4 linked regions of the Arabidopsis thaliana genome follow. Each later gene encodes a partner of the first gene's protein in a complex. Each region holds a gene or a part of one and is shown on either strand. Other genes may lie near its edges. The genes, in order: SAG101, AT5G66900, EDS1 and AT3G48080. A codon is read from its position in the direction of its gene.

Region 1 (4,573 bases):
CGACAAAAAAAGAATGGAGTGGGATTCTTGAGCAGAAAGTTTTCTTCAAGAGATTTAGGGTTTTGCCATGGAAAGGCAGGCATAGCAAGAAGACCAAGAATAATCAACGAGATACTGATCAAGATGGCTCGAACATATTAGTTATTGCTCTCTTTTTAATGCACCTCTATTGCCCTAACGTTAATGGGCCTTTATTGGGTTTATTATTGGCCCTTTACCTAAGGTATACTCAAAAAGATTTCCTTATTGAGTATATAGATTAGGAGTTTAGGACGTTTAACAAAAAGGAGTAGTAGCTTAGTGAGATTTGACGTGAGTAATTCATTTGATTATTCGTGGGTCTTGGAGGATTTCATTGAAAGTAAGTTTATTAATAAGGACTAGTACTGTAAACTTTAGAGGCATTGCTCACACGGGTGAGGTTATATATGCAAATTACGATCTGGAGTAGTTAGTTCTATGCAATCCGTCACGATCCTAAGACGAATACTCTAAGAGTTGTTGCGATTGATGTAAACTTCATCATACCACCCTTACAAGAACACATAAATAACGTTATTTTATTTCACTTCTGTTACTCTCGCAATGACACACTTTTGTCTTTTGCTTTTGCTTTCTTAAATATAATACTTTTTTTTCTTGTAAACGGGAAGAAATTGGTAACGAAATTTACTAGAAACTACTAATTCTCGTTGTAAATGAATAATAACAATCACACACTAGTAACCTGAAATGTAAATAAATTACCAAATTATTCCATTATTGTGACTTACCATAACTCTCGTACTTCCGGGTGTTCATAAACTCGGTCAAGTATGAAGAATTAAAGCCTTTGATCTTTTTGTACTCTTTCCACCACTTCATGAAACTGCTTTCCTCTAAGAATATCTCCGGCGAAACCTCACGTTTTGTGATTATCTCCCACACGTATCCCTCAAACTCCACGAGTTTTCTAGTCAATACCTCTCTCACATCGTCTCTCATCCCCACAGTTGTATTCAACTGATTAATTACAATCAACGAATCCTCAACTTCAGCCCAAAAACAAGAATCAAACGTCAAAAGATCACTCAAATCTCTCTTTTTGCATCTTTCCTTTTCTATTAATATCGATTCCATTCCAAACCATTTCTCAAGCATAACATAGTGGTGAGACCTTCCCGTAGTTCGATACTCTTTCCGACCCTCGAGGTAATATTCAGCAATATCGAGTGGTTCGATCATCCGTCTGTAATTGTTCCCCGAGAATAGAAACCGTCTCTTGAGAATCGATGCATCGCTCTGCGGCCTCCTCTCTACTTCTTCAACTACTGATTTCCAAAAACGGTTTAGCTCTGATTTGTGGTGATTCTTGATGTTTATATCAAACTCTTTCGACGGAAACGCGAGCTGAGTCTTGAACCGATCGTAGTAACCGATCTTGACCTCCTTGCATTTCTTTTTGTACCACTCTATATAAGCCATCGATATCTTCATGTCGTTTAGTTTCTTAAACATCATATCAAATCGCAGATTTTTCATTTCTGCACGTTTCTCTATTCCTTTGATAACATCTTCAGGGATCAATCTTGAATCCGCCAGAGACAACATGGATTGGTCAAGACGATTTAGAACTTGGCTGTAGTCTACTAGACCCGAATCATGAACACCGTTTAGCAACTCTGTGACCGCCACATGGTCCTCGATGCAAACACATCCGGAATCAAAACAGATCAAAAACGTTCCAAAAGGTTTGAAGAAGTCCATCTTGATACGAGTTTGTGCTGATACAACGTGAAGGAAACATGAATTCCTCACAGAGTTCTCAAGAATCTGTTGAAGAGAAGCGTCTCCGATCAATGGCGAGCCAAATGTGATGCATAAGGGACGTTTTAACGTCGGTTCGATGGTTTCAAGAAGCCATAGCGTATAGAGAGATGCAACAGACCCTCCTAACGCAGCTCCGGTGATGATCACCGGTTTCTCAGACTTGAGCGTTTGGAGCAACTGCAAGAGACATATAACTTTCAAGTTTTCTACGTACAAAGATTCTGTTTCTTATAGTTGTTGACTTTTAAAACCAGACAATACACAAAGAAACATATACTAGATCAAACAAAATCTGAAACAGAGTATTAAAAAGCTATTGGACTGAATTGCAAACACGGCAGAGATATATTTCTGCAGACACTAACTTTCAAGATTCTGAATTAGTCTTAAAAACGAGATAAGACTGAAGAGATGGAGATTAAATTACCTCTGATTTGAGGTAAGTGAGACTAGTAGAAGCAGAGGTAAAAAGGTTAAAAGCAGGTGTGTGAAGAGAGAATGATGGGTTGTTCTCGGAGCAGAGGAATGGGAAAGGATTTTCTTTATCTTTCACATGAAGAAGAGTAGAATCAGAGCTACTACTTCTGCAGATCGGTGGTGCGCTAAAAACCACAAGTGTGAATTTCTCTTCTCGGTGAATCTGAAATTCTAGACCTGAATCTTTTTTTTTTTTTGAAACTTGTAGACCTGGATCATGATTCGAATAAGGTGGGTTATGTATCTCCAAGATCTTACTCCATGAGCTATGTAAGAGACCAGAGGTCACCACAAGCTTCCCAAGTGCAGAACCTTTTCTAAAAACCAGGAAAATTGTGAATTTAAGTCAATGTCTAAGGAACAAGAAATAAAAATATCATCAACAAAAAAATACGGTTTTCAAGAAACGAAAGAAGCTGAACAAAGCAGGTTAAGTTAGAAAGACAAGAGAGTGAATTGTAATGATTACAGTGAAGAAGAAGACTCCATGGCGTGAGCTGGAATAGATCTGTGGAGAAGACAATACAAAATTATGGATGGTAAGAATGAAAATTTATATTGTAAGACTGAGAGAAATAAATGTCTGAGAACGAGAGTCCATATTGAAAAATCATTGAACTGATAATAATTATTATAAAAAAAAAAAAGAAGTGTATCTGAAAGTCAATGGTCCCTTTTCCGGGAAGAATCGCCAAAGGCGAAGAGTTCAACATACTATTAAGATAGAACAAGTGTGAATAAAAATAACACGCTTGCATTTGAAAGCTTACCATATAAGATAGGACTCAAATGTGTACAAGAGAAGGACCAAAAGAATCATAAATACCCAAAAAGTCACAAAGAGTTTGTTTATTCTTTCCCTTTTTTAAAACATTTAAATATGTATATCATTATCACAAAGAACTTGTGGAATAAGTTGACATGTATTTGTTACTCCAAGACGAATTTGTTACTCCAAGTCTCCCAAGTCCCAAGTAAGTTCTCCTTGCGCAAGACTTTCCCAAATGATCTTCAAACACATCGGCCCAAATAGGCTGGACCATATGCACATAAGAGTCTATATAAGGCCCAAATAAGATTTGCAATTAGAGCATTTGACCCAACTGAATAACAACATTACCGCTAGCAGAACACTCATCTTTTGAGCTTCGCTATGTGCATTTCTTGTTTTCTTTCTTTTTTTAGGTTCTTCTATCTATTACATAGTTTCAGCGATACAAGAGTTACATGAGCCGAAGAAATGCCTAATAAAGTAACCTGTTAGAATAATAAAACTTTATCCATCCCTATATTATTCAATACAAAACAAATTCATAAAACCCTTAATTCATCGAGAAGGTTTTTTTCATTATTTAGTATTCTACGTCCCGTAAACAAAGATCCAACTCAATATTACTATAACAAAAACAAACGCATTACAAACTTATAAAAACTCCATTGATTTAAATTATTTCGTTTAACAACCATCGTCATATAAAGGTTCAAGGACATTTGGATTTTCCACCACGTGTCTTCATGTTGGCGTAACAAGATCCACACTTCTCCTTATTACCGTAGGTGCCTGGGGGAACACACTTGCAGCGGTAGCAGCACGTGACGCACGCTCTCATACATACGTTCTTCCTCGAGTGTTGCCCACACCTCGTCCCACATAAAGGCACGCAATCTAAACCGTCCAAAATTTAGTCCAATTATACATCCGATCTAATCAACGACCGATAATCATCACACTTTTGAAAGAAAATTATTATTACCTATCCGAGTTCTTACGGGAGGTGGTGTTGGAGGTTTGACAGGCGGCGCTGTAGGTGGTTTAACCGGTGTAGTTGGGGGATTGTACGTAGGTGGTTGGACCGGTGGCGTCGTGGTGGGGGGTTTAACCGGTGGAGTTGTGGTGGGTGGTTTAACCGGTGACGTTGGGGGTTTGTACGTAGGTGGTTGGACCGGCGGTGATTGAACTGGTGGCGTAGTGGGTGGTTTAACCGGTGATGTAGTGGGTGGTTTAACCGTTGGAGTTGGGGGTTTGTACGTAGGTGGTTGGACGGACGGTGGTTTAACTGTTGGCGTTGGGGGTTTGTACGTAGGTGGTTGTACCGGCGGTAGTTTGATCGGAGGAGTTGAAACCGGAGGTTTTACTGGTGTAACCGGAATAGTTGGAGGTTTGACCGGAGGTTTTGTGGTGGGTGGTTTAATAGGAGTAGTTGGCAGCGTGGGTGGCTTGTACGACGGCGTCGGCGGTTTGAGAGCTGGCGACGGCGGTTTGGTAGCCGGAGATGGCGATGGAAGT
Region 2 (5,413 bases), about 22 Mb from region 1:
AAGATCTTGGAGGTTATTCATACCCTCTTTACCGTATGATGCAGACCATAAGTCAATTATAGTGGAAGCTATTATCCTTTGGTCTTCAAGAAATGAGGCCATGTCCAAGAAACACTCTCGAAGATTGTGGGGCAAGGCATCAAAGCTTTGAATCGAATTCGAATTCATAATGGTTCCTATGAAGGGAGAGGAGAATTATGAATTAAGATGAAAACCAAGCAATTTGAGAGAAATTTTAATCTATTGACCGACTCTTTCTTTGATTATAAAAAACGTGACTCTTCATAAAAGCCATTAGATCAAATTTATAACGGAAAAGTCACGCGGTACTTTGAAGTTTCAAACAAACCATTGTTTGAATCCCAGAACAGAAGTTTAGCTAGCAAAGGAAAAAGGAGACTTGACTTCACATTTTAGGATTTTCAAAGAATTTACCAACATTATATTTTTAACATTAAGAATGTTGAATATTACATTTATAGTTTGTCAAAAATGTTGGTGAATAACTCTGTTCAAATCTATTCAAGTTAGATAAGGATCAAGGATTTAGTAGTACTCTTAAATGGTTTTAAAAGATTGACCTACACAAAATTCTTTGGCATGACATTTTCTCTGTACTTGGACTCAGTAGCCATTATAATGTATATAACAACGAAAATAATGAATAACAAACATTACAAGATCCACAGAAGCTACTACGATAACGTTCTTTCACTTAAAACATTTGAAGCAAGTTCAGGTTATGCTCTATTTCCTCCTCCTGAACTCTCAAATTTCTCATTTTTGGCTTCAGCCTTTCCCACAACAATCCAGTTTCTTCATCGCATTTGACCTCCAGATTCTCTAGATTCGTCACTGACTCCGGCAACTCGCATCCCGAACACTTTCTCATCGAGATCTTTTTCAGATTCTGCAGTTTGCCAATCTCTTGAGGCAACTTTCTCAATCCTAAGCAATGAGAAATATCCAGAAACCGCAAGTTGCTGAGTCCCTCAGTCGCTTCAGGCAGCTCAGAGAGATTCATAGAAGAACACAGCCTCAACACTTCTAGTCTACTCAAGTTGCCTATAGCTTCTGGAAGTTGAGAGAGCTTGTTACAGTTTGTGATGCTAAGTGTCTTCAATGAAACAATTTCAGAGATCCAATACGGTAACTCATCAAGATCATAGCAGTAGTCTATGTCAATCTCTTGTAATTTCGATAGAGCATTAGAGACAACTATATCTTCTGTGTCGTAGAAAACCTCACCGAAACTACACATGACCAAAGACAGCTTCTTAAGACTGCTGAGTTGCAGTTGGGGAATGTCTAGCAAAGTGATTGAAACTTTTTCCAATCTAATCCGTTTCAGGTTTGGTAATGAGCTGAGACACGAGAAATTACTCAATCTTGCTGGATAAAAACCGTGATTTGTGATTGTCAGAACCTTCAGCTTCTTCATTCCAGAGATGAAGCTTGGCAATGCATAGTCTGATGAAGAGAGATTTAGAACTAAAGCCTCAACATTGGGGCAATCCATTTCCAACCATTTCGATGAGAACAAATCATCTGTAAGAAAAAGAGAGACCAATCATAGTTATAGAGAAGTCATATTTCTAGAAACAGCAGAGATTTGTATAATCATTAAGTTTAATTTTCAGAAAAAGAAGACCCCAAAGAATTACCCGTAGAGATAGACAATAAAGAGGCATTAATAGTATTCAAACACCAGTCTGGAAATGTATTCTCTAGTATCTCCAGATTTAGTCTTTTTCTTTCTAAGTTTTCCTTAAATTCGCTTTGACAGATAGCCAACTCCCTAAGGATATCATGTTGAGTCACTAAGAAGTCATTGTAGAAACCGTCTTCGTGCTCATTTGTGCTGATAAAGAAATAAATAAGTTCCACTAATGGTAGATGGCAAGAAGGTGCAAAGATATAGATTTGAAACATAAATAACATACCCGAGAGGAACAAGTTTAAGTAGATTCTGGGAGGCAAGGTCTTCAAGGTACATATACAAGATACTACTACCTTTACCGTATAATTCCACCCACATATCAATTATTACCGAAGCACGTATCTTTTGGTCCTCAAGAAATGAGCCCATGTCCAAAAAGCACTCCTTAAGGTTGGGATCCAGAGCATCAAAACTAGGCTGCAAACATTCTAGCACAGTTGGATAAGGCTTACCAAGAATTTTTTCCCCTTCAGACCAGCTTTCCACCTGACCTTTCCATGTATTTAGAGATCGTCCTTTGAGTGAAACACCCACTACTTCAATTACGATTGGGAATCCATTGCAACGTTTCAATATCTGCAATACTCACCATGTGAAAAAAGAAAAAGATGAATCTATTGATATAGTTACAGATTTCGTAGATCACAAATGTATAGAGGTTCATCTAGATGAATGAAACAACAACCTTCTGGAGGAGATCTTCGTACTCATCAGGAGACGTGTTACAAGGTCGCGATGCCCAATGAATGAGAAGGGCTCTAGCATCATCATCTTCCAAAGGTTTCAAACGATAATTGGAATCAAAACTCGGAAAGTCAAACCGAGAAGTCACCAAAATCTTATAATTTGGTAACTTAATTTGAAATTTCTGAAGGAAAGAATCCGCTCCCCGCCACACATCATCCAACACCAACAATATAGGACCATTTTCTTTAAGTTCCTCCAGCAGTTTTCTTAAGCCAACTTCTGCTTGAGAATCATTCTCAAATGTAAGTGCATTGTAACCGTTGTGCTGGAGTAAATTCTGTACTATTACCCTAAAGTTAGGAGTATTTGACACAACATTAAAGAAGATATGCTTGAACTTCCCTGCCAAAGGAAACTACATGAGAAACCAGCTCAACTATTCACGAGTAAAAATTGAAACTTTAAGACTTAATGTGGATCAACAATACATACCTTTGATATCTGGATCGTCACAAAGCCGACTAACCAGCGTGGTTTTCCCGCAACCAGGAGGAGCAGAAACCACAAGAGTAACCACAGAATCGTCAAGGAGTCTCTTCTTTAACTCCCCCAATGGCCAATCCAATCCAACAATAACCTTATCAAGCTTGGGAACCGAACAAAGATCCCTAAAAACAGGCGCAGGAACACTCAAAAGGTCCATTCTTTTACTTAAACCATCAACCGAATTCACAAGGTTTCCCGTCAAACCCAACAACGTCAACTGATTCCTATGCTGAAGAAGCTGAAGATCAATCTGACAGAACTTAAGCATATCCTTATTGATTCTCTCAATTTTTCTAGTATATTTAGATTTCTCGTACCACTTGACTCTTGGAAACTTCCGAACAGCTACATCAGCTCTTTCGATCGTATCCCTAAGTTCCTTTAGTTCCTTTACACCAAAGTCAAGCTCTTTTTGCATCGAATCAATCTTTTGAGTTAACGGAAACAATATCTCCATTGTTGATACGAGATCCTTGGACAAGGGTTTGAAAGCTTTGAACTTTTTTGCTTCATCAATCACAACTTTCAGGAGCTTGGAAAACACAGCTTCCCCAATAGAACCTATTCCCAAACTAGCCCAATCGTTCATTCTTTCACTTCTCAGACAAAACCCAGAATCCAAAAAAAAAAAAAAAACTTGTTTGTAGAATCGCTGAAAATCGAAAAAGGGGATCACTGAAATATCAATGTGTGGTTCATAAAAATGTAGATAGACGAAGGAGACGAATTGCATAGCAAAGCTGTCGCCTTTGACTTCTCAGACTCGGTCCCTTGCCGCGCAATGACCAAGGAAAACGACTGCGTTTGCGTTTGGTCTTTTACGTTAACCACACGTTGTTCGATAGACGGAACGTGCTCTCCTCGTACGTGCGAGAGTATGCCTTTCTTAGATTGGGCCTTTTTCAAAGCGGCTTATTCAAATTAAGCCTTTATGTTTCTACGGCCCAATATAACATGCGTATTTGAAAAGCTCATAATTTAAAATCACTAGTACATACAATGATACAGCGTGGTTAGTAATTTCATTACAGAGCAATAAACTAGTATCAAACCCGAGACATAGCATGTTGACTCTTGTAATATTATTACTCGTTTAGTCTAGATTGTGATCATTAAAGAGTCAATAAGAATACACAAGCTACGAAAATGTTTTTTTTTTCACTCAAAACTTAAAACGTTAGAAGCAACTTCAGGTTATGCTCTGTTTCCTCCGTGTGAACTCTCAAATTTCTCATTTCTGGCATCAACCTTTCCCACAACAATCCAGTTACTTCATCGCATTTGACCTCCAGATTCTCTAGATACCTCACTGAATCCGGCAACTCGCATCCCGAACACTTCCTCATCGAGATATTCTCCAGTTTCTGTAGTTTGCCAATCTCTTGAGGCAACTTTCTCAATCCTAAGCAATGAGAAATATCCAGAGACCGCAAGTTGCTGAGTCTCTCAGTTGCTTCAGGCAGCTCAGAGAGATTCATACAAGAACACATCCTCAACACTTCTAGTCTACTCAAGTTCCCTATAGCTTCTGGAAGTTGAGAGAGCTTGTTACAGTTTGTGATGCTAAGTGTCTTCAATGAAACAACTTCGGGGATCCAATATGGTAACTCATCAAGATCATAGCAGTAGTCTATGTCAATCTCTTGTAAATTCGATAGAGCTTTAGAGACATCTATATCTTCTGTGTCGTAGAAAACCTCACCGAAACTACACATGAAAAATGATAGCTTCTTGAGACTGCCGAGTTGCAATTGAGGAATGTCCAGCAAAGTGACTGAAACCTTTTCAAATCTAATCCGTTTCAGGTTTGGTAATGAGCTGAGACACGAGAAATTACTCAATCTTGCTGGATAAAAACCGTGATTTGCGATTGTCAGAACCTTTAGCTTCTTCATTTCAGCAATGAAGCTTGGCAATGCATAGTCTAATGAGGAGATATTAAGAACTAAAGCCTCAACATTGGGGCAATCCATTTCCAACCATTTCGATGAGAACAAATCATCTGTAACAAAAAAAAAAGGTGGTCATATTTCTATGCATGATTTTCAGGGGAAAAAGAAGAAGAGGATCTTAAAGAATTACCCGTATAGATAGACAAAAGTCGAGCATTAATAGGTTGATTTAAACACTCGTCCGGAAAGTTGTCCTCTCGTATCTCCAAATTTAGTTTCTTTCTTTGCATGATTGGTTCCAATTCACTTTGAAAAATAGCCAACTCCCTCAGAATATTATGTTGAGTGACTAACAACTCATTGTAAAAACCGTCTTCGCGCTTATTTGTCCTGGTAGTAAGTAAAACAAATAAGTTCATGATCAAATGGTAGATGGCAAGAAGGTGCAATGAAACAAATGTTGTAAAAAACAACACCAACGTACCCGAGATGAACAAGTTTAAGCAGATTCTGGGAAGCAAGCTCATTAAGGTATAACATGAACTTGTTAGTACTAGAACTACCTCTA
Region 3 (5,324 bases), on another chromosome or scaffold:
GAAGCATGAAATGAGGTTCTTGGACCAATGAGAACTTCAAGTGACTTGAGGAAAGCTTCGTTAACAGTAGTGTCAACGTCGTTGCCGATGCTTCTCATACAAGGAAATTGATTACGCTTCATCTTTATTTCTCCAAAGGGAGATGTATTCTCCGTAGCGAACAAATCTTCCGACGAGAAAGATGCTCGGAAGGCGAAAAAAACGGTTCCTCCTACTTCTTCTTTGAGATAGTGCTCCGTTTGGTTAGCTCCCTTCGACGCCATCCATGATATGGTGACTAGATCACCGTTGACTCCCGTAAGAGCTTCAAACGCCATTTCTCTTTTCTTGAGTGGACTTTCTTCTCTTTTTTCTTTTGAGTCGTCTTGATTCTTAGTCCTCCTACTCTGTTAATATAGTAGGAAGATGTAGACAGGAGTAATTACCCAAAATACCCCATCATGAGACCATTTCAATCTAAGGAAGGTTGTTTGTTACTGGTTCATGCTATTTGAGATGGCTTTAGGCTTTAGTAGAGTAACGTATATATTCTAAGATCACTGTAAAGTGGAAACCAAATTTGACATTAGAATAGAGAGCTATTACATTACTTCACAATGATCATACAACATGTTTCTTATTCTAAGATCATCATGAAGTGGAAACCAGATTGATAAACATTTCTTATTGCACAAATTAAGAGAAGCAAGTGTTCTAATAGCTTAAATACTCCACCACCTAAGGTTCAGGTATCTGTTATTTCATCCATCATATAGTCTCGCAGAGGAGAATGCGATTTGTGATTTTTGGGAAGCGTAATCCACCACTTTCTAAACGTTGAACCCTCCAGAAATATTTCCTTATCATCTACCTCCCCGTCTGTGATCCATTCTCCAAGCATCCCTTCTAATGTCTTAACTCTTACCTCAACTTCCTCGTATGGCTTTCCTTTGAGTTCTTCAACCTCAGCCCAAAAGCATGATCCGCACTCGGATCCCGAATTCTTTAGAGTCTCTTGAATTTCTTCTAGCTGTAACCCTAAGTTAAGACCATTTACCTTGTTCCAAAATACATCTTCTGCAATCATTCCGTTTGGCTTCAGTATATAATGTTCGTAGCCTCTCTGAGCATATATGTAGCGGGTTGGTCTTCCTCTTTTCATGTACGGCCCTGTGTCTTCGTTCTTTAAATGTCGATGGTAGTTTGCAATATCAAGAGGCTCAACTAATCTGCGGTATCGAGTTGCTAACTTGATCCAATCTATGTCCCCTTCGAACTCATCTGGAAGTTGACATTTCTTCATTAAACCAAGCACCTCGTCAAAAACACCGGCTAACTCAGCTCTCTTGACGTTTGCTTTGAAGTCATTCTCTTCATTTGAAACTTTGAAGGAATCATAATACCCATTTTTATGGGCTTGACACTTTGGCTTGTATTCATCTTCTATCCATGCTAGTTTCTTTAAAAACCTCTCTTGCTCGATCACCTAAAAACCACAGAACCAACAAGTTTTATGTTGTTAGACACAAACAGACGAAGCACGTACCTGCATTATTCATGAACAAGCTTATCAACCACAAACCTGAATAATCTTCTTCTGATTCTCTACTCGTTTCTTCTCTTCCTCTAATGCAGCTTGAACGTACTGTCTGCCTCTTGTGCTCTGCAGAAAAAGGAAACACTCTGAAGGGTTTAAATGATTGCAAGAATGGAGCTATGGAGCTGCACAGTATGAAAAGAGAGAGAGAGAGAGACTTACCACTCCAAGGTCATTGAGCGTAGACTCTATTGAGTTTTCTCCATCCAAATGATTAAACAACTTCTTTCCCATCGACTGTACCAGTTCCTCATAGCTATGATGATCTCTGATACTTCGAAATGGAATTAGAGACCATTCTTGTTCATCGCTGGCTTGAGAAGTGTAAAACAGCATTTGAAGAATGGCGTCCGAGTTGTTCACTGCAACCAATCTCTTCTCTGTAGAGAAAACAAAAGTACCGGCGGGTCTATAAGGACTTAGCTCAAGGAAACTAGAAAGGGTCTCTAAAAACGCCTCTGCGCTTCCAGTCAATTCACAAACAGCTTGGTTTGCAACAGTTGATGTGTCTCGCATCACCCTTGTGTAAAACTCTGTTATTCTCTGTTCACTCTCTTGGACGGAAGACTTTCTGGGATCCAATTGGGCAAGAACATGAGGCAAAGTTTCCTCTACAGACGCCTTTCGAGCAAGCATAATCCGAGGGACAATATCGAATCTTGAGACAAAGTTCACAAAGAACCGGCTCCATTTTTCTCTCCCAAGTGCGTGACTGAAGATAGAGTCACCAACCAAAGGAGCTCCAAATGTCACACAACGAGGCTCAAGGTAAACATTTGGATTGCGTATGAAGTATTTCTCCAAATACCAAACTGTTGCTAAGATTGCAGTTGCACCTCCTGAGGAATGTCCTGTGAACACTATCTGTTTTCTACTCCTCACAGCCATTTCCACCTGAAGAAGTAAAAGCATAAGAGACCAAAAAAGAAAAAAAAAGAAAAATATATTCGGATGTTTTCAATCTTCTTACAGAAGCTTGAAATGAGGTTCTTGGATCAATGATAGCTTCAAGATTCTTGAGGAAAGCTTCGTTAACAGTAGCTACATCACCTTTACCGATTTTCCTCATACAAGGAAACTGAACACGGTTCAACTTGATTTCTCCAAAGGAAGATTTATTGTCCGGATCGAAGAAATCTTTCTCTGAGAAAGATGGTTGGAAAGCGAAGATTACGACTGCTCCTGCTTCTTCCTTGTGATAGCGCTCGGTTAGGTAAGCTTGCTTCGAGGCTGACCATGATCTGGTGATTAGATCACCATTGATTCCGGTAAGAGCTTCAAACGCCATTGATCTATATCTATTCTCTTTTCTTTAGTGGACTTTCTTCTCTCTTTTTTCTTTTGAATCGTCTTGCTTCTTTAATCCGCTCCTACTCTGTTAATTTATGGGAAGATGTAGACAGGACTAATTAGTTACCCAAAATACCCCATCATGAGACCATTTCAATGCAAAAATGGGTTTTTTTTTTTGGAGTTGACTCTTTGGCTATTGGAGACTCATGAAGAAAGAAAAGCTAGGAATCTTAGCTTTCCACGTGTCGGTTTTACATTGGTGTATGGCTTTGTACATCCGACATGACTGGAGTTTCGCAGAAACTTTCATAAACATTCACATTTGGTCGGAAAGTTTTCTCTGTGTAATCTTTGCTTGGAAATTTTGTAGCTTGACTTTGGAGTCTTCGTCTCTTTAATATAGACTCCATCTTTTGGTTTGAGATGTCACTCTCGGTTGGGATTTCGCAGTAACTCAATGATATTCACTTTTTTGTCGGAAAACAATTTTGTTGTTTAATGAATGAGGAGATTTGTTCGCTTGGAGTTAAGTTTTTGTAGCTTGACTTGGGTTTTCAGATTTGGTCTCGTATAGAAGAAATCTACTACTTTAACTCTGTTTTGCTTATAAATCTTATCCGGAAAGTAAACCGGATAATCTACAAGATATGGAACCGGTTCGATTTCTCTCAGCTGAATATTAACCGAATTAACTAACTACACCTTCTTGCCTGGTCCGTTTTTGCGTTCGGCAAGACGCGTCACATTCGACTTTTACTTGTTTGATTATGAAGTTACATGAACCGGACTAGAAAAATTTAGTTTGTTTTTTTGGCTAAACCAAATTGCATAACCATATTTTGCTTTCAGATAGAATGAAAAAGCCTAGGAGACTAAATTAACAAAAGAAACAAAAAAAAGTCTAGGAGACTAGAATTTTCTTGGTCTTAATAAAACCCAACTTGGGGAAATTTCTACGAAAAGCCATGTAAAGTGTTCCAACCAACGCTTAAAATAACTAACTTATCTCGCTGGATTCGATTCATGTAGACAGCTTTATTTTAATTAGACAAAAGATTAGCTTGTCTTCGTGTAATGAACGGTACTAAACTACTAATCCATTCCTAAATCATTATTTAAGTAATCTTAACAAAAGAAATTCATATGTTAACTTCCAAAATAACACACCACCATTTTACATATCTCTCATGTAAAGAAAAAAAAAATGTATCTCTTCTCCTCTCTAATGAATCCAAGTCTACAATTTACATTTCTATCTTATAAAAACCCATCTTTGTCACTCTTGATCAGTCTTGGTTCTATCAGCAAAAGAAGCCGTAATGTCTCAAAAATTGTAAGCCGAAAGAATCAGGACATGCATGTGTGTGAATCTTTGAGCTTTTAAAGAACATATCGTACGTGGAATCTGATAAACTCAGATCTTTGCGCGTTTTAGCTGCGAGTAGATATCATTAGCTTCAAGCTCTCTCTTGTGCATAATATTCTTAAAAGCTCTTTCCTCAGCTTTCATTAAAGAATCTCTTAATCTCTTCACATCAGCTAATTTCACAGGCTTCAATAAGAAATCTTCAGCTCCTTCTTCAAGACATCTGAATAAATATAAGGAACCAAATGTTAGTGATCTAATTCCATAAAGTTTATAACTTTGGATACAGAAAATGGCCAGCTCATATATGATAATCATTAAACTTAATCTGGTAAAGAGGGTTTGGTTCCTTAGTAATAAGCAAAGGCATGTGAGGTGTCTATCACGAGGATTGGGATTTTATAAATGACCCTACCTAAGATTATGCAACCCAAACAATTAAAACATATATTATAAAGTTTTGGAGGGCCTAACATGTCACCGGCTTATATAGAATCAAATCTCAAGAGAAGATCTTGCTTAACTTATGATGGATTATTCTTTTCTAAATTTATGGCCACAAGATAAATTTTATTATTCCTAAGATCCATTTTAAAAATCATTTTAGGACCCACTAAAATAAACACCAAATCTCAGCTTGATCAAATATACAACCACCACCAAAGTTAACCCCATGATAGTTAAAAAGTAATCATATAATAACCTTTTCTATCATAACAAAATCTTGTGATTATACAACAATTTAATTTAGTCAATACATATCCTTTAACGGTAACTTTATCACAAATCCTAAATTAGTGTGATTACTTTAAAAAGTTTCCTAAACAAACAATACCCTCTAAATCTAATCATCCCCATCTCCTGAAGTAATAAATGCACAAAATCTACTATATTTGGTAAATTTTGGTCCTACATAATCTTGACCTAAACAAGAATTAAGGATCATAGTTAAGATTATTATAGTAGAATATACCTATCGATACGAGGCAAGATGTTCTCTGAAGACATAATCACAACTGGTATTTCTCTGAAAGCTGATGATTCCTGTTAAAAAGTTCAAAATCCATAAACAAGATTAGATCAAAACTT
Region 4 (5,151 bases), on another chromosome or scaffold:
TTCAAGGTGGTGGTCTGACTATTCGGCTTGCTCGTTCGTCTAGCATGTTTTGCAGGTCATGAAGAAAGGATGTGTGGCTTTTCTCGGCCTGTGTCTGTTTGTTTTCTCTCTTCTTCATTGTTTTCCTCGCATGTTCTACGTTTTTCACCTGTCTTTAAAACTCTTTAGATATGGGTATAGGGATTTGTCTTTTGGCAACTGAGAACTATGTTCTATGTTCTTCTATGTCAATGACTCTTCTTCATCTGAAACATGTGGTGGTGGTGGTGGTGGTTATGTAGAGTGGTGTGTGAGTACATAAGGTGGTACACGAATTTCAAATACATAAAAGTTGCAATAAGTCTCTTTCTCATAGCCTGCGAGAACCTTGCTTATCTGTAATACTCTAAAGGTATCATTTTATGTCGTCTGTTATTTTAAGGTGGCCATAGATGTTATATCATTCTACTTGATTCTATGTTGAGCGACTAAATACAGCATATAGACAGTCAAGTTTGGTTATATATAAAATTGACATTCGCGCGAAAGAGTTGAAGATTACTTCTATTGTCTGATTCTTTTGTGAATGATCTACTTCCTCCTTAGCTATATGGTATGCATCCTTGAGTTGATTATACTGATGCAGGATTCTGGTGGAACGCAAATCTAACAGGAACGTCTTGGTAATGTGATTACTCTTTTATTTACTTGTGTTTAGGAGACATACTTGAGTCAAACTTTCATATCGAGCTAACTAGCATACAGAGGGGCATAGGGCAAGTTTCAAATTTTGTGTTTTAATCGTTTTCTTCTTTGGTTATGTAGTAGCTAGAACTTGGAGCGTTTGCACAGCCACTTGTTTTGAGGTATAGAGGTTAGTAATGTTATAAACAATTGAAGTAACCTCAGGCTCTATTCTGATGACATTCTGGTCCTCTTTCCTTCTGTCAACACTAAGGAAGATTGTTTGTTACTGGTTCATGCTATTCGAGATGGCTTTAGGCTTTAGAATAATGTATTTATTCTAAGATCATTGTAAAGTGGAAACCAAATTTGACATTAGAATAGAGAGCTATTACATTACTTCACAATGATCATACAACATGATTCTTATTCTAAGATCATCGTGAAGTGGAAACCAGATTGATAAACATTTCTTATTGCACAAATTAAGAAGCAAGTGTTTCAATAATCGAACCATTTAAGGTTCAGGTAGCTCTTGTTTCATCCATCATACGCTCACGTGGATACAGCGGAGCATGTATTTTGTGACTGTCAGGAAGTGTATTCCACCACTTTCTAAATGTTGAACCCTCCAGAAATATTTCCTTCTCATCTACTTCCCCGTCTTTGATCCATCCTTCAAGCAACCCTTCTAGTGTCTTGAATCTTACCTGAACTTCCTCATATGGCTTTCCCTTGAGTTCTTCGACCTCAGCCCAAAAGCATGAACCGCACTCGGATCCCGAATTCTTTAAGATCTCTTGAATGTCTTGCTGTAATCCTAAGTTAAGACCATTTACCTTGCTCCAAAACACATCTTTTGCGATCATTCCAGTTGGCTTTAATATATCATGTTCGTACCCTCTCTGAGCGTATTTGTAGCGGCTTGGTCTTCCATGTAACATGTACGGCCCTGTGTCTTCGTTCTTTAACTGCCCATGGTAGTTTGAAATATCAAGAGGTTCAATTAATCTGCGGTATTGAGTTGCTAAATTGATCCAGCCTCTGCTCCCCTCGAATCCATCTGGAAGCTGACCTTTCTTCACTAAACCAAGCACCTCGTCGAAAATACCGGCTAACTCCACTCTCTTGACGTTTGCTTTGAAGTCATTCTCTTCATTTGAATCTTTGAAGGAATCGTAATACCCATTTTTATGAGCTTGACACTTTGGCTTGTATACTTCCACTATCCAAGTTAGTCTTTCTACTATTTGATCTCTTTTGGTTTCTATCTTCTTCTGATTTTCCACTCGTTGCTTCTCAGCCTCTAATGCAGCATGAATACACTGTCTGGCTCTTGTGCTCTGCAAAAAAGGAAACATAAATAAGGATGGAGCTAATGAAGCTGCACAAATTGAAAAGAGAAAAAGATTTACCATTCCAAGGTCGTCGAGAGCGGAGCCTATTGAGTTTTCTCCATCCAAAAGCGGATTATGCAGATCCAAATGATTAAGCAACTTAATACCAATGGATTGTACCAGTTCCTCATAGCCATGGTGATCTCTAATGCTTAGAAATGGAATCACAGACAATTCTTGTTCGTCGTTGGACTGACAAGTGTAAAACAACATTTGAAGAATGGCGTCTGAGTTGTTCACTACAACCAATCTTTTCTGTGTAGAGAAGACAAAAGTGCCTACTGGTCTATAAGGACTTAGCTCATAAAAACTAGAAAGAGTTTCTAAAAACGCTTCTCCGTTTCCAATCAACTGACAGACAGCTTTGGAAGCAACAGTATATGTGTCTCGCATCACCCTTGTGTAAAATTCTGTTATCACCTGGTCGCTCTCATGGATCGGAGCTCTTGTAGAATCCAATTTGCCAAGAACGTAAGACAGGGTTTGCTCTATCGTTGTCTTCCGAGCAAGCATAATCCGAGGGACAATATCGAATCTTGTAACAAAGTTTACGAAAAACCGGCTCCAATTCTCTCTCCCAAGCGCGTGTTTAAAGATATAGTCACCAACCAAAGGAGCTCCAAATGTCACACAACGAGGCTCAGGGGCAGCATAGGCGTCACGTATGAAGTATGTCTCCAAATACCAAACTGTTGCTAGAATTGCAGTTGCGCCTCCGAAAGAATGTCCTGTGAACACAACCTGTTGTTTTCTATCAACCGCGCTTTGCACCTGAAGAAAGTAAGTTTCAGACACAAATTATTCTGATGTTTTCGATTTAAAACGCATTTAAGAAGCTTTTGTTTACTTACAGAAGCATGAAATGAGGTTCTTGGACCAATGAGAACTTCAAGTGACTTGAGGAAAGCTTCGTTAACAGTAGTGTCAACGTCGTTGCCGATGCTTCTCATACAAGGAAATTGATTACGCTTCATCTTTATTTCTCCAAAGGGAGATGTATTCTCCGTAGCGAACAAATCTTCCGACGAGAAAGATGCTCGGAAGGCGAAAAAAACGGTTCCTCCTACTTCTTCTTTGAGATAGTGCTCCGTTTGGTTAGCTCCCTTCGACGCCATCCATGATATGGTGACTAGATCACCGTTGACTCCCGTAAGAGCTTCAAACGCCATTTCTCTTTTCTTGAGTGGACTTTCTTCTCTTTTTTCTTTTGAGTCGTCTTGATTCTTAGTCCTCCTACTCTGTTAATATAGTAGGAAGATGTAGACAGGAGTAATTACCCAAAATACCCCATCATGAGACCATTTCAATCTAAGGAAGGTTGTTTGTTACTGGTTCATGCTATTTGAGATGGCTTTAGGCTTTAGTAGAGTAACGTATATATTCTAAGATCACTGTAAAGTGGAAACCAAATTTGACATTAGAATAGAGAGCTATTACATTACTTCACAATGATCATACAACATGTTTCTTATTCTAAGATCATCATGAAGTGGAAACCAGATTGATAAACATTTCTTATTGCACAAATTAAGAGAAGCAAGTGTTCTAATAGCTTAAATACTCCACCACCTAAGGTTCAGGTATCTGTTATTTCATCCATCATATAGTCTCGCAGAGGAGAATGCGATTTGTGATTTTTGGGAAGCGTAATCCACCACTTTCTAAACGTTGAACCCTCCAGAAATATTTCCTTATCATCTACCTCCCCGTCTGTGATCCATTCTCCAAGCATCCCTTCTAATGTCTTAACTCTTACCTCAACTTCCTCGTATGGCTTTCCTTTGAGTTCTTCAACCTCAGCCCAAAAGCATGATCCGCACTCGGATCCCGAATTCTTTAGAGTCTCTTGAATTTCTTCTAGCTGTAACCCTAAGTTAAGACCATTTACCTTGTTCCAAAATACATCTTCTGCAATCATTCCGTTTGGCTTCAGTATATAATGTTCGTAGCCTCTCTGAGCATATATGTAGCGGGTTGGTCTTCCTCTTTTCATGTACGGCCCTGTGTCTTCGTTCTTTAAATGTCGATGGTAGTTTGCAATATCAAGAGGCTCAACTAATCTGCGGTATCGAGTTGCTAACTTGATCCAATCTATGTCCCCTTCGAACTCATCTGGAAGTTGACATTTCTTCATTAAACCAAGCACCTCGTCAAAAACACCGGCTAACTCAGCTCTCTTGACGTTTGCTTTGAAGTCATTCTCTTCATTTGAAACTTTGAAGGAATCATAATACCCATTTTTATGGGCTTGACACTTTGGCTTGTATTCATCTTCTATCCATGCTAGTTTCTTTAAAAACCTCTCTTGCTCGATCACCTAAAAACCACAGAACCAACAAGTTTTATGTTGTTAGACACAAACAGACGAAGCACGTACCTGCATTATTCATGAACAAGCTTATCAACCACAAACCTGAATAATCTTCTTCTGATTCTCTACTCGTTTCTTCTCTTCCTCTAATGCAGCTTGAACGTACTGTCTGCCTCTTGTGCTCTGCAGAAAAAGGAAACACTCTGAAGGGTTTAAATGATTGCAAGAATGGAGCTATGGAGCTGCACAGTATGAAAAGAGAGAGAGAGAGAGACTTACCACTCCAAGGTCATTGAGCGTAGACTCTATTGAGTTTTCTCCATCCAAATGATTAAACAACTTCTTTCCCATCGACTGTACCAGTTCCTCATAGCTATGATGATCTCTGATACTTCGAAATGGAATTAGAGACCATTCTTGTTCATCGCTGGCTTGAGAAGTGTAAAACAGCATTTGAAGAATGGCGTCCGAGTTGTTCACTGCAACCAATCTCTTCTCTGTAGAGAAAACAAAAGTACCGGCGGGTCTATAAGGACTTAGCTCAAGGAAACTAGAAAGGGTCTCTAAAAACGCCTCTGCGCTTCCAGTCAATTCACAAACAGCTTGGTTTGCAACAGTTGATGTGTCTCGCATCACCCTTGTGTAAAACTCTGTTATTCTCTGTTCACTCTCTTGGACGGAAGACTTTCTGGGATCCAATTGGGCAAGAACATGAGGCAAAGTTTCCTCTACAGACGCCTTTCGAGCAAGCATAATCCGAGGGACAATATCGAATCTTGA

The links.
Region 2: the proteins of SAG101 (region 1) and AT5G66900 are in contact, whole or in part, in a cryo-EM structure (PDB 8YN1), measured with the Arabidopsis thaliana proteins. Residues at the interface, in NP_568307.3 of Arabidopsis thaliana: Met292 (codon at 1,500), Lys295 (codon at 1,491), Ile302 (codon at 1,470), Tyr306 (codon at 1,458), Trp309 (codon at 1,449), Tyr310 (codon at 1,446), Lys313 (codon at 1,437), Cys314 (codon at 1,434), Val317 (codon at 1,425), Arg324 (codon at 1,404), Phe331 (codon at 1,383), Pro332 (codon at 1,380), Ser333 (codon at 1,377), Lys334 (codon at 1,374), Glu335 (codon at 1,371), Phe336 (codon at 1,368), Asp337 (codon at 1,365), Ile338 (codon at 1,362), Asn339 (codon at 1,359), Asn342 (codon at 1,350), His343 (codon at 1,347), Glu347 (codon at 1,335); in NP_201491.1 of Arabidopsis thaliana: Arg429, Tyr583, Lys606, Met629, Tyr658, Tyr660, Asn682, Asn684, Met708, Leu732, Glu777, His801, Asn802, Leu803, Leu805, Leu806, Met808, Phe809.
Region 3: the proteins of SAG101 (region 1) and EDS1 are in contact, whole or in part, in a crystal structure (PDB 8YN0), measured with the Arabidopsis thaliana proteins. Residues at the interface, in NP_568307.3 of Arabidopsis thaliana: Glu2 (codon at 2,772), Ser4 (codon at 2,766), Leu7 (codon at 2,757), Lys8 (codon at 2,602), Ser10 (codon at 2,596), Ala11 (codon at 2,593), Leu12 (codon at 2,590), Lys14 (codon at 2,584), Leu15 (codon at 2,581), Val16 (codon at 2,578), Thr18 (codon at 2,572), Ser19 (codon at 2,569), Leu21 (codon at 2,563), Pro139 (codon at 1,959), Ile141 (codon at 1,953), Lys168 (codon at 1,872), Leu171 (codon at 1,863), Ser196 (codon at 1,788), Cys197 (codon at 1,785), Phe198 (codon at 1,782), Leu199 (codon at 1,779), Thr218 (codon at 1,722), Cys229 (codon at 1,689), Glu231 (codon at 1,683), Ala266 (codon at 1,578), Asp267 (codon at 1,575), Asn287 (codon at 1,515), Lys295 (codon at 1,491), Asn298 (codon at 1,482), Ile302 (codon at 1,470); in NP_190392.1 of Arabidopsis thaliana: Arg234 (codon at 2,089), Ser237 (codon at 2,080), Thr238 (codon at 2,077), Asn241 (codon at 2,068), Gln242 (codon at 2,065), Val244 (codon at 2,059), Cys245 (codon at 2,056), Thr248 (codon at 2,047), Ala251 (codon at 2,038), Ala253 (codon at 2,032), Phe254 (codon at 2,029), Leu255 (codon at 2,026), Thr257 (codon at 2,020), Leu258 (codon at 2,017), Ser260 (codon at 2,011), Phe261 (codon at 2,008), Leu262 (codon at 2,005), Phe295 (codon at 1,906), Tyr296 (codon at 1,903), Arg353 (codon at 1,636), Gln356 (codon at 1,627), Tyr357 (codon at 1,624), Gln359 (codon at 1,618), Ala360 (codon at 1,615), Ser413 (codon at 1,360), Asn414 (codon at 1,357), Glu415 (codon at 1,354), Phe419 (codon at 1,342), Asn422 (codon at 1,333), Val423 (codon at 1,330).
Region 4: SAG101 (region 1) and AT3G48080 share a complex: the UniProt entries of both Arabidopsis thaliana proteins name them as parts of the nuclear complex.

Annotation. Positions count from the first base shown.
Region 1 is NC_003076.8:4,826,956-4,831,528, reverse strand, and holds SAG101 (senescence-associated gene 101), read right to left. Parts: upstream 3,031-4,573; 5' UTR 2,776-3,030; coding exon 2,756-2,775; intron 2,604-2,755; coding exon 2,237-2,603; coding exon of another isoform or gene 2,228-2,236; exon of another isoform or gene 2,117-2,227; intron 1,987-2,116; coding exon 760-1,986; 3' UTR 547-759; downstream 1-546. Other genes in the region: AT5G14920 (Gibberellin-regulated family protein), read right to left, coding at 3,768-3,952, 4,041-4,573. UniProt on the Arabidopsis thaliana protein: Acyl hydrolase that triggers the leaf senescence onset. Can use triolein as substrate to produce oleic acids.
Region 2 is NC_003076.8:26,714,216-26,719,628, forward strand, and holds AT5G66900 (Disease resistance protein (CC-NBS-LRR class) family), read right to left. Parts: upstream 3,744-5,413; 5' UTR 3,687-3,743; coding exon 2,900-3,686; intron 2,810-2,899; coding exon 2,406-2,809; intron 2,297-2,405; coding exon 1,944-2,296; intron 1,862-1,943; coding exon 1,665-1,861; coding exon of another isoform or gene 1,630-1,664; exon of another isoform or gene 1,549-1,629; coding exon 716-1,548; 3' UTR 508-715; downstream 1-507. Other genes in the region: AT5G66890 (Leucine-rich repeat (LRR) family protein), read right to left, coding at 1-168; AT5G66910 (Disease resistance protein (CC-NBS-LRR class) family), read right to left, coding at 4,123-4,955, 5,036-5,235, 5,330-5,413. UniProt on the Arabidopsis thaliana protein: Probable disease resistance protein.
Region 3 is NC_003074.8:17,754,829-17,760,152, forward strand, and holds EDS1 (alpha/beta-Hydrolases superfamily protein), read right to left. Parts: upstream 3,320-5,324; 5' UTR 2,865-3,319; coding exon 2,547-2,864; intron 2,471-2,546; coding exon 1,739-2,470; intron 1,643-1,738; coding exon 1,562-1,642; intron 1,466-1,561; coding exon 725-1,465; 3' UTR 501-724; downstream 1-500. Other genes in the region: AT3G48080 (alpha/beta-Hydrolases superfamily protein), read right to left, coding at 1-317; RR5 (response regulator 5), read right to left, coding at 4,284-4,458, 5,209-5,279. UniProt on the Arabidopsis thaliana protein: Positive regulator of basal resistance and of effector-triggered immunity specifically mediated by TIR-NB-LRR (TNL) resistance proteins.
Region 4 is NC_003074.8:17,751,917-17,757,067, forward strand, and holds AT3G48080 (alpha/beta-Hydrolases superfamily protein), read right to left. Parts: upstream 3,275-5,151; 5' UTR 3,230-3,274; coding exon 2,912-3,229; intron 2,832-2,911; coding exon 2,079-2,831; intron 2,007-2,078; coding exon 1,188-2,006; 3' UTR 547-1,187; downstream 1-546. Other genes in the region: AT3G48070 (RING/U-box superfamily protein), read left to right, coding at 1-55, 282-381; EDS1 (alpha/beta-Hydrolases superfamily protein), read right to left, coding at 3,637-4,377, 4,474-4,554, 4,651-5,151.